Coturnix japonica: one gene and its partners. The protein of the gene in region 2 interacts with the protein of the main gene of each other region in a pairwise test. Links are inferred from orthologs where the notes say so. Each region holds a gene or a part of one and is shown on either strand. Other genes may lie near its edges.

Region 1 (4,173 bases), on a different chromosome or scaffold from region 2:
GGGTAATTAGACCCTGCACAAACTGATCTGCAGTAACTGTAGAAGACATGGACCTGTTAACTTACACAACAGAGGGTATGTCAAGAAAGCAAAACCCTCCGTGGTTGACAAGATAGCACCCTAGGCAGAAGATGCAGTGGAATGAAAGCTAATGCACATGCCACTGGCACACACTGACATATATCTTTGTTAGGGCTTTTGAAGTACATAAACTCTCTTGAAAAAGGTATCATGAAATCACTGATAATTTTTCCATCCTTCTGCTTACTGGGACAAAAAATCTTATTAACCTAATGATCAGAGGGATCTTTGGATTCCATATTTTGAAATGACAATACAAAACAGTTTCGGATGTTATTTGCAGTTCTAAGATGTGAATACACAGATTACATGTTTACTTAAAATATCTGTATGCAAGTGATGGCATCAACTGCACAGTCATGGCTTTTGCCTATTGCAGTGTATCACTCCTAATGCTCTCAAGACTGGAAAAATTGATGATGGTAATGTCTGATTAGAAACTGCTTAGTAGTCTTTTTGCTCTCTGGCTAGATATGCCTAACTCCTGCTGACATCCTTCTGAGAGCATACATAAGGAGCAAGAAGGATCCCTACATGCAGCACTTTGCTTTGTCTTTTTTTAGGATTCCTGCCTGTCTGTTCATTTTGGGAGATTTGAGTGCTCTGTGGGTAAATCCCTCATGTGAGCAGCACTTCAGCTCTGTAACGACTTTCTTGGCTGTGCCTGGGAGCAGAGGGAGCACTCATCCCACCTGGCCCAGACACAGTACAGCACATGTGAGGACCTGATGCTGGCAATGCAGCAAAGGCACCAGTTCCTACTGGGACCTCACTAGGGGGCTGAGCTCCCCACTAGACAAATACCAACAATTCTGGGGAAATGCACTCTGTGGGAGGATTTAGGTACCTGTCAACCGAATCCTTTTAGGGCTGAACCAATATCACATTTACTCTTTCCCTTCTCACCAGGGAGACTGCAGCAGCGTCCCAGTAGTGCTGAATGCATATAGTGAACAACATGAACAAGGAATGATTTTGTTGCTGGGAGAACTCTTTTACAGAGGTTGTTTTACATAGGGGATACCTTAGTTCTTCTCCTTGGAGTACAGCATTTAAAAAAAAATCCCAAAGCCTACGTCAGAATTCTTCCCACACAGTCTCTTGCAACTTACACTCTGGAAACCTAGTTTTAGCTGCAGAATAACACAGCAGCTTTCATACATTATACCAGGCAGCCAGCGCCTTTTAAACTCAGGCCAACACAGACCTTCCCTGTCAGGCAGCTGTTCTGCTCACCTGGGACTTTCTAAGCCTCTACCCAGCTGTCAGCTCCAAGTGATGAGGACCTCCCTGTTTTGATACGTTTACCCAGCACACAGCATCACTGTGGAAGTCTACAAGAAGATCTGGCAGCTGCTATCATGATATCAATCATAGGTAAGTAGCAGAGGATCAGTAAAATCACATTATCCAGGAAAGCTGCAGAGAACATTCATTATCTCAGGATACTACTTTCCTTCCCGTGCTACTCAATCTTCCAGGTCACATACTGGCAGGCAGGAAAACTTTTCTTGTACTAGTCAATTAAAAATGTAGTGGCCATGCCATTTGAGCTGGATGTTGGTTTCCACTAAGGTAAATTGAACCACATTTAGTAATCAATAAATAAAAGGCTGGGATAAAAACATCCTTTTCTGGGTAGTGTACATAAGGATTCTTGTGCCAAAGATGTCACTTACATCCCATTTCAACTACTGGCTCATTAAACAGTGAAAGTTCACTGATGGCTCTGCTAGCATGGATGAGGGAAGTGGAACATCCAAAGTCACCCACCAAAACAGTCCTCTCTGGATACATGAGAAAATAAATCATTCCAGCCACTGACAGAAACCCTGTAAGTGATGTGATGATCAGTGTGAAAACAGCTAAAATCACCTGTTGGCAGTGATCCTATCCCTGACCCCCTTTCCTCCTCCAGGTCCCTAGAGTAATAAAGAGGTGAAAATTCCCGAAATTCCCCTAACCCAACCATCTCAAAAAGCAAATGTTCCCCAGTTCAGACCCCTGAGCCTCCAGGGTGACAGGGAGAATTCAGTAGTAGGAATGTCAGAGCAGACTGCAGTCGGAGGTGGCTCACAGTGCTCCACTGCTGATCCTGCCACTGAGCTTCAAACACAGATCAGAGCAATGCATATTTGTTAAAAAAAAAAAAAAGGGGGAAAAAAAGAAAAGAAAAAGGAAAGACAGACAGACAGAAATAAGAGAGATATAAGTACCTTAGATTCCTGGCTGGTGGTTGATGCTGGAGATGGGGGCTGCTCTGTGCTCTCCACTTCATTCTCTTTCTCCACGCTGTCCACGCTGACTTCAGTCATGCTGCTCGGAGGAATCATTTTCCCTCTAAAAGACTGCTAGTATCAGGAAAAAAAGCTACAGACCTTTCTTGCTTTTTCTCATTTAATGTCCTCTTTCTTCTCTGCTCTTCTCGAGCAAATGAACTCTGAACCAGTCACATTTGCAGGACTAGAATTCTCTGGATTTTCTTTTTTTCCTTCTCCTCCTCCTCCTCCCCTTCTTTCCTCCCTCCTCCCTCCCCTCCCCTGTAAGGTTCTGCTGCGCGGGGAGCAAGTTATCGTCGGCTCTGTAGGGTAGTTGTGTGCCGGCTTCTCCGTCTTCCCTGATCCTTCTCTCCTCAGCGTGAAGCCGGGAGGTGAGGAGCAGAGTCGTGACCATCAGCCCGCAATCAGCTGGGAGTGAGGCAAAGCAGAAAGCCCCAGCCACACACATACAGGGCACTGGAGGGAGGAGTTGTATTTCTAATGCTTTGAATAGCTTTGGGGAGCATGTGCTGTCATAGTAGTGTAAGAAAGTACTGTATGCATGCATGCACACACACAGGCATGCAGCATGCATGAGGTGTGGGAGCATTTTACCTTTTAATCAGGCTGAGGAAGGCAGAGTTTGAAGGGCAGCTTTATATTCTGGTGATTTTCTGAAGAAGGACTCTAGGAGAAAAGCAACACTCTTCTTACTTTGTCCCAGAGAAGATGATTAAAAATCCTACCTGCTGATGTCTCTTAAACACCCACACTGCCTTACACCCCAAAGCGACAGGACAGAGCCAGGGAGGGGCACCTGTGGCTCTGAGTGCTTTTTACCTCTCTCCTAGGCAGGAGACCCCGCTCTGAGCCATGCACATGCAGTCAGGGATTGCCGGAGCTCCCGGCGCTGCGCAGATCCGTACCTGTAGGTTGTCATAGTAATAACACTCAGGCTGCAGTGGGAAAGCTGTCGGCATCCCCAGGCGCCGTCTTTCCCATGGACGCAGTGCCCGGAGTCACTCTCAGAGCTGCGGTAGTCCTGGAGGAAGGACAGCATGACTTTGCTGTCAGCCTCAAATCATGCCTATGGGTTAAATCAGCTGCAAAGGCACCTGTATGCTCTCCTCCCTGCTGACTTCAGGTCTGTGTGGCGAAAGGTTGAATGGATGTCCTCCCCAATGCATGTACGCTTTGTGGAGTGAGATCCGCTCCATGCAGCTGGCGGAGATGTCTCTTTATATTTCAGGGGAAGAAAAAAGAATAAAAGCAACCTAATGTGTTTTTCCTGGAGGTACAGGCAAAGGTGTTTGGAGGTGATGCACTGACATCTGAGCCAGAAAGGAACTCAAGAGAGGGTACCAGATTCACTTTGGTCCTACCGCTTAGAAACATACTTGCTACCTGGGGCTGCCCTGTAGGACTGCTCTATCAGTGGGTGAAAGCAAGGCGGGATTTCAAGACACTAGGGGTTGTACAGATGAAAGCCAGAGCAGAAAGTGCCCTGCAGCCTCAATATTCTTTATAACTATGCTGAAGTCTGGAAAAAAACTATACTTTTCCTTGAATCTCTGGTGAATTTCCAGTACCAGCATTTGGGGGGGGGGGGGAAAAGCTTTTTTCTTTGAAATAGAGCATATAAGATACTGAAATCTTTAGCAGACAATAAACATGAAATGCTGCACTGCTATTTGTATCACCACTTTAAAGCAAAAGTGTGTTTTCGGAGTCTGCCAGCAGAATCTATTATTTGGCCTGTAGCTGCTAACACTACTACAGGGATCAAAACAAGAGCACTGGTTGGTGTTGAGGCAGTTTCAATGACATCTGAGAC
Region 2 (3,510 bases):
CCGACCTGGAATGTGGAGATTGAAAGCCAGAAGGACGTTGATGAATAAGTCAGGGAGTTGGTCGGTGGTGTCTGAAGGCAGCCCGTCTTCAATCACATCCAGCAAGAACTGCACAAACTGAGAGTTGAGATGTTCTGCAGAAGGATAAAGATGGCACTTACATCATCCGTAAAGTACAACAAGCAACAAGGGACCACGTGAGCCACTTCATGCTTTTAGGCTTAAAGCCACTACTAGAGTGGCAGTGTTAGCCACCAGGAAATTAACCAATGGTTTTGTGCAAGAGACAAATGGCTCCCAGTCAGCCACAGCTCAGACAAATGCTGACTGTTCATTTCCCACTGGCTTTTTTTATTCATTATTCAAGTAAATAGAATGCCAAATTCCGCTCTGGCTGCTGTTCCAGCACCCTTGGCACCAATGAAGGCTTCAGGTAGGAAGAGATTTGTATTCTTGACCACTGGTCTAATCCATCTATTTAGAAAAAAGAAAAAGTAATCATCCAGATCATTAGTAATAACCCGTTTTTCAATTTAGCTATTAGGAAAGCTCAGGAGCTCATGCAAATAAGTCCACCTGCTGGAAATAATTGCCAGGGTTATATGAGGAGAGAAAAGCAGGAGATGTGGAGACTCGCTCCTCAGTCCCCGCTGCACAAGCTTAAACCTTGTATGTGGTTATTGGAGTGTTAAGGTGAAGCTGCTGAGGAGATGATTATAAAAATCTTCATTGCATTCCTAGAGAAACCAAACCCAGAGTTTCCCAACTATTGAGGACACAACACGGCTGGGGAAGAAGCACAGAGAGCACCTTCTAGCTGAAGGTTGAAAGGAAAGAAAGGGTAAAACAGGCAGATCTGGAGCAACATCTGCACTTCCCTCTTGACTGCAATACTCCTCATCATCTCCACTCGCACAAAGAACTTGAAATTCACAGGGCTGTGCCACCCTGTTACAAGGGAGAGCAGGGAGAGGCCATGTGATGCAGCTGGTGGATTTAGTGGACATTCATGGAGCGATCTGAGTCAGCAACAGAAAGAATGTGTTTGAGGCAACTGAGAGGTGAGTGCTGTAGTGCAGGGCTCCAGTATGACTAAATATTTGGACAAGTAAGCTGCTGAGCCACAGTGCTGGGCAAACTGCTGCTTCTGCAGCAAGGCAGAATGCTTGTGCTGCTCTTTCTGAAAACCTGGCATCTCTGGCTCAGTGTTTGCAGCAGGGACACTCCAGTGGTGAAAAGGAGACCTTAATCTCACCTTGCTGACATTGAGCTTTCCCCAAGCTCTCCCCACAAAAGCTCCATCCCCAGGTAACCCATGACCAGCTCTGACACACGCACAGGCTGCTCTTACCATAATGATGGTATGGAAGGGGTTCCCCCATGGAGAATATCATTGCCAGCACCAGGGCAGAGTAGCACATCTTCTGATGATCTGCAAGAGAAACACAGAGCTTCTGCCACTGATTCTTCTGAGGGTGTGGTGCAGCACCCCCAGCTGGTAAGCCACATATTTACTACAGACTTCTCATGCTGATTGCACTGCTCTTTGTTTCTGTGTTTGCTGAACGATGGGGACATTTTCTTTCCTCTTTAAGCACACACCTTCTGCACCGTGCATTTCTAAATTCATTTAAAAATAACCACAACAAAATTCTCATGTTTTGCGTCTTTTTCCCCATCCACTTCAGAGGATGAGGGCAAACTCCACCTGGATAACAAAAAACCTCCCCTGCACAGACCCAGGACACGGCCCTTAGTTATGTAATTACTGAACCCAGAAAAAGCATCCATCTGGCCACCTGCAAGTGCCGCCTGTTCCAACCACCGCCGCCCCCGGAGCGCTGTGCTGCTCAATACCACCTCTGCTCTGCTCCACTTCTGCTACCTCAGCTCTGCCTGCAGGGATGGAAAGTCTCTGGGGAGACCCACCAGATCCCTGCTCATGGCTCAGGCTGCTCCTGTGCCCACTGCCCAGGCCACACACACCTCCACCACCTCCACACCCCGCTGGTCCAACTCCATTTGTGCTGGCAGCAGCTCCGAGTGAATATTCCACAGTCAGTGCCTTCCCTGAACGGTAATTAACAGATACTCCTCAGTAGATGTTTGCAGGGAAACAGAAGTCGCAGAATATGATCTGTGTGATAACAAAATGCAGCCTTGGTCCTGAGCAGTGAGGCTGAAGAAAAACATGCCTTCCATGTACGATGTTTCCCTGGTTCTGGATCCCCCTCTGACCCAGAAAGATCTCTCCATTCACAAATCAATCCATTGCTAAGCACTAGCAAGCTCAATTTGATTCTGCCCACACAGGCTGGTGCCTTCTTCATCCCTAATGCTCCTGGAGTTGTCTAACAGACTTGCAGCAATTGGCAGCTTGCAGGTTTACTCTTAGCACGAGGGAAGAAATGCTAGAGAATCGTTTCAGCCCAATAACCCCAGGAATCCATCCCCATCAGCAGAGGCTCTATAAACAAAGAGTGTGCAGACTTTGTTGAAGCTCCACAAGACGCCTGAGCTTTGAAATAGCAAACACTTCAGTGAAAATGTATCATTCGGGGCCCAGCTAGAGATACTACGCATTAACAAGATTATGAGTTTGTATGAGAGCAGCCCAGACAATGTGGCAGCAAAGCTGGAAACTGCTGTCTGCTCCTGTTAAAAGGAGAGGGAGAACACCAAGTAACTTAAATCTAATTCATTCTTATCTAAGGAGCTCCCAGCTATAAGGTGTCAGTGATACCAAAGCTCGCTATAATAGAAAGAAGATCTGACAGCTGCAACAGGCACCTGCACAGCCAGAGCTGACAGGCAGAGGTGCTTCCAGGCACCACCACCCAGCCACCACGGGCACGTCCCATGTCTGGCTGTGCTGTTTTCCTAACTGTTCATTACAAGACCTCTTCACCTCCATCCCAGGCGCCTGCGGCTGGTTATCAGAGGCAGGGTGAGGCAGAAGGCAGATATGGGGAGCTGCTGTTCCTGTGTTCTTAACAATACTTTCACAGAGAAAACTTCTCTTGTTGCACGCGGAGCAATGGAACGATCTGAGAACCAGAAGCCAGCACTGAACACACAGTTGGAACATACATAGAGGAAGAGATTAATTAGACATGGAATGGGGGAGGAGGGTGGTTACACACGTCCCTGCCCCATCTGCCATGAAATGATGTCCATTTGTGGCAGCTGACGGCAGGCTCCACTGCTAAGGATGCTGCATGTGAGGTTGCTGAGAACAGTCTGAAGGCTGAACTTGGAGCAGATCTGCATCAACCTGGTGCACTCACTCAGCACATACCATGAAAGTGTTAGGAGTGCTCCAATGCAGCCAAGGCTGCATTCCTTGACGTGCTTGCATCATCCTGAAAAACATAGTCATTGCCAGACAAAGCATGGCATATTTTTTTCATCCAGAGCAGCACCAGTGGCAGCAAGTGAATAAATAGCACTCAGAAAGCTCTCCTGAAGCAGAGGGACTTTGGGGACACCAGACTGGTAGGTGTCACTCAA
Region 3 (4,246 bases), on a different chromosome or scaffold from region 2:
AGGGAAGAATGATTTCATGTCTCTGCAGATCTACTTTTAACCTACCTGCAATTACAGCCCCCAAACAGCAACTTCCACAAGAAGGGAGAGAGACACCACTCAGCTTTATTCATCGGGATGAATACTTCAAAGTTCAACTGGAAACAACCTTACAAACAGGAACAATCCCCCCAATTAACAATTAACATAATAAAATAATTAGGTACTCCAAAATTGCTCTCTTATTTGGTGATTTCCAGCAGCTATGAACACATGAGAGTTAAAGTAACAGATCTGTGTGTTTCTTGAGTGTGTTCTACTAAGTTAAAGAAGGAAAAATTGTTCCAGGTCTTTGTATCCTGCTTTACAGGATGTTCAAATGAGGAATTTCAAGGAAAAAATGAAGGAATGCCACGTTGTCACCAAGTAAAAGCACTTTATGTTCTTCCCAATCTGTATCAAGTGAAATCCAAGTTACACTGCAGCCTTACTCCAAACTGACGCAAGGCACAAAGAGATGAGAAGCCACTTCCTGCAACTCTGTGAGTTGCTCCTCACAAACCAGCGCAATTCCAACTGCATTAAGGTCCTGCTCCATCAGAACCTCTTCAGACCCTGCAAGCTCAGCCACCCAGAGGTCACAGCCCCTGAAACACCCATTTCAGCAAAAACAAAGGTCACAGGGCAAGCTTTCAAATCAAATCAGAGTCCAGAAAGCAGGCACAAGCTTCATCTTTATTGTCTTCCCAGCAGTGGTCATCTTTGCAATGGAGTGATATTGCAGCTGAAAAAGAAGAGTGGGGAAGAAAACATTTAAATCTATGTTCCGAAAGAAGCTTAGATGATCCAACACAGCACAAATCAGATCAACCACAACCCTCCTCCATTGGTTTCCTCTACTATAGGAAGGAGCCACTGAGATCTTCAGCCCCATACCCATGACTGATACAACTCATCACCCCGTATAGTACCAAATTGACAACCCCAGCTCTCAGCTGGACTCTGCCTGTGAGACACATCAGAGCAGCACAGAGCGAAGCAGAGCTGGTTCCTCCTGCAGGAGACGTGCCCTGAGCTGATAAGAGCCCCCTCCACTCCGACTGGCAGCCTACCCCAGCAGGCCCTTCCCAGCCCAGCGCTTCGGAGTCAGCCCCAGGTGCACTTGCTTGCCATTGCGGATCACAGTCACACTCAGAGGTCTCTGGGAGAAGCAAAAAAAGAAGATGAGCTCTCTCATTTCCATTATGAAGAGCCCAATGGCTGTGGTAGCTTCTCTGGCCGTTCCACAGCAAATGCTGTAACTCATTGGGAGAGATAAGAGAACGCAGTTACAGCAGAACCAAACTTACCCCTTCACTATGCTGTACTACTGTGGCGATGTTCTGCAGGCTCTTGAAGTTGTTTGCATTGACAGAACCAAACTCCACAATCTCATCATCAACCTGCAGACCCTGGGCAGACAGAAAGAAGCTGAACGTCTGTGTTCTGTGATGACAGGTAACACTGCCTGCTCACAGGAGCTTTCATCCAGCCGCACAAGCTGTGCTAGGACACCACCCTTCTCACCATTCAGACAACTGAACATCATACCATGCCCTTAGAAACAAGGGCACACTCATTTTTCTGCTCTGTTTTATGAGAAAACAATGAGGCTGCAATGAACAGATAAGCCTTGTAAGAGCTGCGTGGTGCTACGATGCAGCAGACAACATGCAATTTCTGATCCCAACACAGGGACAAACCAGCTCACAGGGACAAACCAGTGACACGGCCACAAACGGGCAGCTCCCTCCATGGGAACATTCAAGAATAACTGCACTGGTTGAGAAGGTGAATGAATATTTGACAAACACAGAATGAAGAAAGTGTGAGTGGGATAATAACAATAATCAGTATCTCACAGCTTATACCTGCCTGTTAGCAGAGGAAAATAAGCAACACATCCCCTATTTCCCCTTCTTAAGCACAAAAGAAGCCATCCCCATCCACTGGCAGCCCCAGCAACGTACCGCGATGCTGGCGGGTGACTCTGGTGTCACCACGTTGACTTTGGCAAAGGCAGTTGGCAGATTTTGGCTCATGGCCTCAGCTCGCGCCTCCGCCTCATCCCTGGCGTGTTTCTCCTTCTCGCGGGCGTGCAGCTGGTGCAGAGCCTCCTCCACCTGCTTCATCAGCGCCTTGTGGTCGTTCTGCAGACCTGCGGGTGGCACCCAGCTCAGTAAGAAGCAGAATCACAGCATCGCTATGGCTTAAAGGCCCAACACAGCCCACAACCCACCCCACGTCCCTCAGTACATCCCACAGCTCCTGAACGCCCCCAAACCTCCCTGAGCAGCCGCCCCCTCTCGTCCTATCGCTGTTACCCGGAGCAGAGGCCGACCCCACCCTCCGCACCATCCCTTAGGGGCTGCAGGCAGCGCTAAGTCCATCCCGAGCCCCTTTTCTCATCCTGAGGAGTCCCCCACGCCGCTCCCGTCCCGTCCCCACTCACACGCGATGTTGTGCCGGGCTGTTCGCACTTGGTACAGGTCGATGTCGGCCCTGGGGAATCCCTCGCTGTCCACCAGCGGCCCGTCCATGCCCACGCCCTTTTGCTGAGGGGAGAAAGGCCGCGGTGAGACCCTCGGCAGCGCCCCGAGCCCCGAGCCCGGCCCCGAGCCCCGCTCACATCGTCCAGCAGCTGGTAACACGCCCGGATCTGCGCCTCCAGCTCGTCCTTGCGCCGCACCAGCTGCTGCACCTCGCTCAGAGTCATGGAGCCGCAACCACCGCGATCCGACATGGCGGCGGCAGGAAGAGACGCAGCGGGGGGAGAGAACATGGGGCGGGGACAGAGAGCAAAGGGGGCGGGGGCAGAACGGGGGGCGGGGATGGGGGGGGGGTGTCCATGTGGGGGGTGATGGAGGTGATTGAGGTGATGCCCCCATGGCCGGGCAGTGCCCCCGGGGCGGGCAGTGTGGGAGGAGGAGCCGCTGTGCTCTATATCAGCCCCGCTGTGCTCTATATCAGCCCCGCTGTGCTCTATATCAATCAGCCCCGCTCAGGGTCGCGTTCTGTGCTGCTGTCACTGCGGGTCACATCATGGTGAGCGGGCACAGGACGGAGCGTTTATGGGGGACACGCTTCCCCCGGCCCCGCTGAGCGCTCAGTGCCCGCTCACTCACCGCCTGTCCCGCTTCTCTTGCAGACGACGTACACGGACAAAGGGGAAAAGGTGAGTGGTTCCCTGCTGGGGGACACCCCGTCCTGTGCCCCATGGCTGCCCCATGGCTGCCCTGCAGTGCTCTCAGTGTGGCGGTGGAGCAGCGCTGGGTGCTTTGCTGCCGGGTGAATCGTTAACGCTGCGGGTTAGTGAGGACAGGCTGCAGGTTTGGGTTGCAGCTGCCATCTCCTCCTCTGTGACCCAAACCCTAAACCCCAAACCCCAAACCTCCTACTGCGTGTTTCTATAGGACCAGATGCCCCTGGGCTCACTTCCAGGCTGACAACTGGGTGTTTTGCAGCCACTTTGCTCCATGTGACCGGAGCCAACGCTGTGTGCAGAACAGCCTGCATGCAAAACACTCCAAAACATCATCATGGCGGGGGGCCATGGTGACATCCATGTCACTGGGTGCACCTGCAGGAATTGCATTGGGAAGAGTTCCATCTGGAGGGACTGTACAACTTCTTTTCCCTTTCCCTTTAGCACCAGCGAGGCCGCTTCATCCACTTCCACTCCATCACCTTCTGGGTGGGCAATGCCAAGCAGGTAGGGGGCCGCAGGGCTGGCGGCGGTGGCCATTGGCTGCCAGGGGATGGTGGGGCCATGTATGTGTGTGTGTGTGCTGACAGCAGCCCTGGCCAGGGGCCACGGCCTTGGGCCCTTGCGCAAGGTGGGGGGTGGATGCAGGGGGTGCACACAGGGCAAAAATGCAAAGGAAAAGCAAAAACGCGTCACCGCACACAGAACGGGCTGTACGGCTGTGCTGGGAGCACACAATGGCCCCGCACACACCGCACAGCCATGCACACACCGTGCTGTGCTGCAGGCTGCCTCCTACTACTGCAACAAGCTGGGCTTCGAGGAGCTGGCGTACCGCGGGCTGGAGACCGGCAGCAGGGAGGTGGTGTCACACGTCATCAAGCAGGACAAGGTGTGCAGTGTGTTGGGATGCACTGAGCAGAGCTGGTGGGATCCTCCCTCCCATCACTAACTCTTCCTTCCTCCCATCCTCTTCCACCCCAGATCATTTTCGTCCTCTCGTCGCCGCTCAATCCAGGCAAT

Evidence for each region. The genes of interacting proteins can lie anywhere in the genome.
Region 1: the proteins of NCKIPSD (region 2) and STAC interact in binary tests that used the Homo sapiens proteins (3 or more experiments, as listed by UniProt). The link is inferred for Coturnix japonica from reciprocal best matches to the Homo sapiens genes NCKIPSD and STAC.
Region 3: the proteins of NCKIPSD (region 2) and PSMD9 interact in binary tests that used the Homo sapiens proteins (3 or more experiments, as listed by UniProt). The two-hybrid records come from large-scale screens. The link is inferred for Coturnix japonica from reciprocal best matches to the Homo sapiens genes NCKIPSD and PSMD9.

Annotation. Positions count from the first base shown.
Region 1 is NC_029517.1:41,873,376-41,877,548, reverse strand, and holds the start of STAC (SH3 and cysteine-rich domain-containing protein), read right to left. Parts: upstream 2,803-4,173; 5' UTR 2,415-2,802; coding exon 2,298-2,414; intron 1-2,297. UniProt on the Homo sapiens protein: Promotes expression of the ion channel CACNA1H at the cell membrane, and thereby contributes to the regulation of channel activity.
Region 2 is NC_029527.1:6,680,385-6,683,894, reverse strand, and holds part of NCKIPSD (NCK-interacting protein with SH3 domain), read right to left. Parts: intron 1,433-3,510; coding exon 1,352-1,432; intron 135-1,351; coding exon 6-134; intron 1-5. UniProt on the Homo sapiens protein: Has an important role in stress fiber formation induced by active diaphanous protein homolog 1 (DRF1). Induces microspike formation, in vivo. In vitro, stimulates N-WASP-induced ARP2/3 complex activation in the absence of CDC42.
Region 3 is NC_029530.1:4,891,477-4,895,722, reverse strand, and holds PSMD9 (26S proteasome non-ATPase regulatory subunit 9), read right to left. Parts: upstream 2,803-4,246; 5' UTR 2,801-2,802; coding exon 2,648-2,800; intron 2,574-2,647; coding exon 2,471-2,573; intron 2,177-2,470; coding exon 1,989-2,176; intron 1,431-1,988; coding exon 1,329-1,430; intron 1,181-1,328; coding exon 1,092-1,180; intron 764-1,091; coding exon 736-763; coding exon of another isoform or gene 677-735; 3' UTR 86-676; downstream 1-85. Other genes in the region: HPD (4-hydroxyphenylpyruvate dioxygenase), read left to right, coding at 3,061-3,063, 3,167-3,193, 3,668-3,730, 4,011-4,115, 4,208-4,246. UniProt on the Homo sapiens protein: Acts as a chaperone during the assembly of the 26S proteasome, specifically of the base subcomplex of the PA700/19S regulatory complex (RC).